Daphnia pulex: one gene and its partner. The protein of the gene in region 2 purifies or fractionates together with the protein of the main gene of each other region. This does not show direct contact. Links are inferred from orthologs where the notes say so. Each region holds a gene or a part of one and is shown on either strand. Other genes may lie near its edges.

Region 1 (2,848 bases), on a different chromosome or scaffold from region 2:
GTCAATTGATATCAATTATCCCAAAACGTTACAAATTCACACCCATCTCAAGATAGACATTTGATGGACATTTGAGAACTTTATTATTACGTGTTGTAAGACAGAAAGAAAAAAACCAACCCAAATTTAACGCGGCATTATCTAAAAATAACTGCCTGGTTCATCATTCACGATTAAAACGAAACACGTAATCGTCCGATAGGGGTGGAAATCTAGAATTTTAGAATTCATGATTATGCCAACACGGAAGTTGTACAATCAACATTGGGCAAGGATGACAGAACTCAGCTGTTTCAAAACTTCTCCCCAGAGCCATTTAGGGGAGAAGAACTATAAAAATTAAGAGAAAGAAGAGGATAAGAATAAGTCGACTTCGATAAGAGCGCCAATGGAAATTTAGAGAAGGATATTCTTAGTGCTAGGATTAACACAGTAGCTAATGAAATGGCGGTGGCTGTCTACCAAGTGAGGTAGATATCGCTTTTTCATTGACATAAAAGAAGGGGGGAAATGTCATTTTACATTATAGACATTGAGACTAGGTAATTGGGCTATAGAATAATAATACTTAGAAAAGAAGGAATGTACAGAAGATCCCGTTGAAGAATTTTCACAGCTGAGTCCGTGGCCAGGTTTGAATTTGATTCAGGCGGTGCAACAGGTAAGAAGGATATTGAGGTTTGTCAATCCAAACACCACGTGATCTCAACCAAGACAAACTACGCTCGCTGACCTCACAACCATCCACCTTCAGCGTGCGCACGGTGTGGCAATATTCAGCAAACTTTCTAAAAACAAAATATAATACATTTTCAACTGAAAAATCAATCTTTTACAGAGGCCTACAAAAATTAAAACCTACTTGATCCCAGAGTCTGTGATTCTGCAACATCTACTTATGTCAAGATACATAAGTTGTGGGCAAAACTGAGAAATCTTAACTAATGTTTCATCCTGCAGACAAGAGAGATCACTCAGGGACAGTGATGTCAATCTGTTAATATTATAGAAACAAATTTTAATATTGCATCTTATTTCATAATTAAATTTTTATGTTTGATACTTTGGCTGTCGTTTTACAAATAGGATGATTGAAGCCTCACTTATGCCTGTGCAGCCACTAAAGTCAGCTACCTGTAAGTATTAAGTAAGTATACATCATAACCTTCAAATATGCTGTATATTCATTGACACAAAACCTTGATTGTATCTGGAAAATGGAAGGCTAAAATTTCAATGGCTCCAACAGTTAACCAAACACAATTCTTCAACAAAATTTTCTCTAGTTTCTGAAATGAAATCAAATGTTACCCAATTAGACAATTGTGATGGAGCACATAAGAGCAATAGGAGTTGACTAATATAGTTAACTTAATTACTTTACAGTTGACCACAAGTGGCTGGAGAGTTCCATTTTTAAGGTTACTATTTGACAAGTCCAGGTGATTCAAATTGTGATTATTTTGTATGATGGTCTTAATGCATTCATCATTGAATATCTTTGAATTAGATATTTTAAAAACTTTTAGGCTGTGACATAGCTGAGGTAAAACCTGTAATTTAAGAATAATAATTTAAATTATGATTTAATAGTTGGTAAAACTAACCACAACGAACCTGACATAGGGCTTGTGGTAACACTTTGTGATGAGAAAGATCAAGATATTTCATATATTTGAAATATTCATGGACTAGGAAATAGGTTTGTTTACTAACACATCGAAAGTTTAGCCAGTCCTGAGGTGACAGATAATCTATGATTTTCAAAATAACGTCATCCCCCGGCAAATCCAGGAGATGCATTTGTAATTGGATGTTTTCTTTCATTCGCCAATTGCCCAATTCCCAACAAACACACTGTGATTAAATTTAGGCCTACATTCAGCAATCAGGAACCAACTATGATTATGATTCTATGAATCACAGACACACACTGCTTGCGCACATAAACATTGCGACCTTCATTTCACTAAACGTCGGAAATAGTGGAAACATCTACTAAAACTCGGGAGTCGGGATGGATTAAACGGCGAAGCCCTCTAGCGGCCTAAATGTTTACAAGAAACTCCGCGCATTCGAAATTTCATTTGCGAGTGTCATTTGCGCAGCAATTGCGCCGGTAGGTTCAACGTTCATTGAATACGTTATTGATAAAACAGCTGCGTACAAAATACTGGCAATGACAAGGATATTTAAACAGCTGTGAATCTATCAATGTGGTCGGACCACATGTTGGATGTACGTCACGATAGTGCACATGATTGCCGGGAATGAAAACGAGAAAATAGGGGAAACAGAACTTGTATTCAACGTTGCGACCAATCATGATTAAACATACATCTAAAAAAAAAAAAAAAAAACAGTGAGAGAACTTCATTTGGTCAGTCAATCCACACATACATTTATACAGACGGCGACATTCCGCCAAGCCACTGCAAATCTAGGATCAGGTAACCCAAGTCGTGATGTGCCGTTTCATTTTCATTTTCCTCCTATGGAATTACGCGACACGAGTAGATACAGCTTCCATTGCGGATGCACCAGCACTTCGTCCAACACGTATCGTCAACGGTGAAGAAGTCAGAGATGGTATTTTATTCCAACACATTTATAGTCAATTTTATCCGATATGCATTGTCCTTTACACTGTTCTTAATCGGGAACTGTAGGAGAGGTGACGTGGCAAATATCCTTGCAGCTATCGTTGGCCGTAAGCGGACAAGACCGGCAAAGGACAATGTCTCATTTTTGTGGAGGAGCGATCATTAATAGCCAATGGGCTATCACGGCAGCACACTGTGTTTACCAAAAAATGTACATCACGTAAGCAGAACTAAATGAAAAAGAA
Region 2 (3,750 bases):
ATTCCATTCTTTCAAAACTGGGCGGGGCTGACCGCATGATCTTAACGAAGCGACCGGGAACGGACGATGACGTTAGTGACGCCGACGCAGAAGATACTATATTGCTCAAGAACAGCCAGTCTGATATGGAACGCCAAAAAGTGACAAAAAATTTAACTGCTCCAAATTATCAGTCAGTACACAAGATTTTTGAAACACCTATGTCCGTATTACAACCACATATAACAAATTACAACACAACAATAAGTATCAAATAAATAGATTCTTAATTTGGACGACTTTACGCATGAAAATATGTCCTATGGCCATTTGACGAATTACACCAATACATTTATTTGATCGAATTGTCTAAATAAGCTCCTCCCGATTAAATCTTTCGAAATAATTGTCAATTCAAAAGATAGACTCCAGAATTTGAGATATGGATATTTGTTCAGAAAGGGAGACTGTCATCTGGCAGACAGAAAAATTTATATACTTCGCTATTGGACGAAGGCTGGCAGTGAGCAGGAGTTTCTTTAAATTTTTGACGAAATTCCTTCATCCATTCCAGATTTCGAGGTAACACCTCTTCGTGAACCACCATTCGAGCAGGGTAATCTTGGCCTGTAAGGGGAAAGAGAGTATCGGATAAAAAACCTAATCTACAATACAACTTTTTATAACAGTATACGCTACACAAACCTATTATACAATTGGCAGTACGCTGAATATTAATGGGAGCCTTCCATGGCTCGTGAATATACTCGAATTCAAAGTTGGCTAACTCCGGAACGTATCTACGAATGTAGTCTCCTGATGGCTCCAGTCGCTTGCCATATAATACCGAATTGATACAGACAGAGCAATCGAGTAAGCGCTCAAAAGCTGAGCTTGACACCCACATCCAGTTGCCAGAGTTAACTGACCAGTCGGAATCTACCAGTTGATTTGCCATGTACTCGGCGCCAATGTCCCAATTGAGCCACAAATCTCCACGAGTTAGAAACATAGCTACAGCATTGCGAACGGAATGGTGCATCCATCCTGAAAAAAAAAAAAAAAAAACGGAATTTCGAAAAAAAATTCTACTTGTGCACATAAATGAAAGCATTTACCTTCTTGATTAAGTTGCCTCATCCCAGCATCAATGAAAGGATATCCGGTTTGACCATTTTTCCATTTTTCAAAAAACTCTTCGTTTTCAACCCAAGGAATTTGTAAACAGATGGGGTTATCCACTTCCTTATCGAACTTGGGATTCATCCGGCTCATGGCATAGAAGTAATCGCGCCAAATAATCTGGCCTGTAATGCCCAGCCAAGCAGGAGGGTTTCCTCGATTTACTTTATCAAAAATTTCGTGAATTTTCCAATAGAATCTGAAAATTTTTTAAAGGGATAATTATTGAAAATAAATGAAGAACTATTGAAAATAAATGAAACAAAATTAAATTTACAGCCGGACTGAGATAGCTCCCACTGAGATAGCTGCGCTCAACGATAATGGTGGACCAAGCAAATCAGGTCGAGCTTGGTTTGGCTGATAGAAGCCACTCCGGAAAGCGGTTTCTTCGGCCTGCAATCTGATGGCGAAGTGTTTTAGTGCGTTAGTTTCTCCACCAAAAATTCTTCGTCCACGACAACCAACCGGATTTTCTGGTACCCCAATTTGACTTAGAGTGGGTACTCCGCCAAATAGCTGTGTATGTCATAATTTATAGATTTAGATAAATACATAGACATCCAGTTTTTACATTTTTCTGAAAACTCACAGTAAACCTGTTGGATTCAAATGGTTCTAGGGTGAGAAATTTGACACCTTTCCATTCAGGATCAGCTACTGGTTTAGGTGGATCTCCAACTGACATTGCAACATGCTGAAAAATAAAAACATGGTAAGACGACTAAGAAATTGTACTAGTTGCTTGATTTATGTGAAACATTACCACAAACATTTCATAAGTAAGAGGTGGAGTCCCACCATTAGATGCTATAATATCCATAGGATCCCACAGAGTATGAGCAACATGTTCATAAACTTCAATATCTAATTCCGAGCAAAAATCTGAAAAGAACACATACAATTTAGATATTTGTGAAAATGTAAACATTTCTAAATCAGATCTCACTTTTTGCAGCAATGTCTCTTTCATGAAAGATAGGCTCACAATCCTGGATGAAGCAAAGTTTGTTAATGGGCTTAATATTGTGCAGGTGACGAAAAACTTCCAGCGGGCATCCTTGAAAAACATGTAGCTTGGTCCCAACACTTTTAAGACTTTCATTTAAATCTTGCAAGCATTCCAGCAAGAATCCATTCATATGGTACGGCTTGTATCCAGGATCTATATGTAAATTTATATTTAGCTAATGTTTGAATAAAACAAATTTGTATCAAAAGAATACCTTGAAATGTTGTGTCAAATACAAACAGTGCTATGAAATCCTTGGAATTTTCCAATGCAGACAGAAGTGCAGGATTGTCGTGAATCCTCAATCCTCGTCGAAACCATAATACATTCATATTGAACTATGTGTAAGCACTGCCTAAAGAAGAGTGATGAAGAGAATCCGACTACGCAGTTTGACTATCTACAAAACCGGAAAAGACGCACGGAAACCTGTTTACCTGTTTATCGAACATTGATTGAAACATCAATAATCAAGAAACCTGTGACATTTGCCGCAAAAATGGACCGGCCTCGTAAAATGTAAGGCCTGACGTGCAGAGAAAACACATGGCCTTAACTAAACTTACAAGGCCGTCAATAGAGTTTATAACCTTAGAACCCTACAGGCTAGCTACCCCATAGGAGAAACTCTAGCCAAATGCTACAGAAGTGGCCAACTTTTGTTTCTAACTCGCACCACTGCCGCTAGGTTCTCTAGGTAGTTAGTGGCCCAAATGTTCGGCGCTTAATTTGAAAACATGCCTAAACATGCCTAAACATGCCTAAGTAAAAAAAGGCTAAAGCTACAAGTCTCGCAAATCGCGAATTCTCATTCATACCATTTTTTCCATCTTTACTCGATTAAAATAATGAAAAAGGCAAGATTAACAACTCAATGGTATAATCCAGAAGAACAAAACTGAATTCATTGTAAAAGAAATTAACAATATGAAATCCTTATGAATCCTTTGAGGGAACAATTAATCAATTTAAACAAAAATCAAAAAACTTCTTAAGTTATTAGCTTTACTAGTTTGCAGGAAGGGACATCTCTGCTTTTACTTCTTCTTTGAAGGGTGGATTAGACAGCTCAGCTTGTACTTCTTCATTGACGGGTGGATTTGACATGATTGGATACAATGGATATTCAGTAGGATCAAATTTCACGGAAACCATTCGGCTGGGACGAGGACTTTGCAGGCCCTTTGCTTCTTAGGTGCAGGATTTTTCACGCTCACGACAGGCGACTTCTTAGCAGAAGAAGTTGAGGCGGCCAATTTGGCTTTCTTGTCAGTTGGAAGGTCGAATTGTTCGGGCGGTACATTATTCTTAGTAACAATATCTATTTCATCTTTTTGTGGATTGAACAAACGAAAAGATCCTGCAGCTCCATGGGCTCCCTACAAATTAAAGACAAAAATTTAAGCCAAGTGTTAACAAACCAAAGGAGAGAATTTCTCATTCAAATAACGCAACAGAAAAATAGCAAAACAGATATACTTACTTTAGTGTTAAACAGTACGCGTTGGGCGACGCCTTTCTTGAGTGCTTGTTTCAAGTGAACATTGGCCATTTTCGAATCATCACCGAGTTTGAAG

The links. The genes of interacting proteins can lie anywhere in the genome.
Region 1: the proteins of cryptochrome-1-like (region 2) and F-box/LRR-repeat protein 15-like purify together in Drosophila melanogaster (affinity purification with western blotting; 5 studies listed by BioGRID). This does not show direct contact. The link is inferred for Daphnia pulex from reciprocal best matches to the Drosophila melanogaster genes cry and jet.

Annotation. Positions count from the first base shown.
Region 1 is NC_060021.1:8,691,592-8,694,439, forward strand, and holds F-box/LRR-repeat protein 15-like, read right to left. Parts: upstream 1,804-2,848; coding exon 1,618-1,803; intron 1,554-1,617; coding exon 1,380-1,553; intron 1,290-1,379; coding exon 1,200-1,289; intron 1,135-1,199; coding exon 1,064-1,134; intron 995-1,063; coding exon 863-994; intron 789-862; coding exon 611-788; downstream 1-610. Other genes in the region: trypsin-1-like, read left to right, coding at 2,466-2,589, 2,670-2,823.
Region 2 is NC_060023.1:8,042,385-8,046,134, forward strand, and holds cryptochrome-1-like, read right to left. Parts: upstream 2,819-3,750; 5' UTR 2,611-2,818; intron 2,574-2,610; exon of another isoform or gene 2,529-2,573; 5' UTR 2,506-2,528; coding exon 2,388-2,505; intron 2,327-2,387; coding exon 2,111-2,326; intron 2,047-2,110; coding exon 1,928-2,046; intron 1,859-1,927; coding exon 1,754-1,858; intron 1,681-1,753; coding exon 1,439-1,680; intron 1,361-1,438; coding exon 1,098-1,360; intron 1,027-1,097; coding exon 685-1,026; intron 607-684; coding exon 434-606; 3' UTR 182-433; downstream 1-181. Other genes in the region: uncharacterized protein LOC124197701, read right to left, coding at 3,316-3,552, 3,657-3,750. UniProt on the Drosophila melanogaster protein: Blue light-dependent regulator that is the input of the circadian feedback loop. Has no photolyase activity for cyclobutane pyrimidine dimers or 6-4 photoproducts.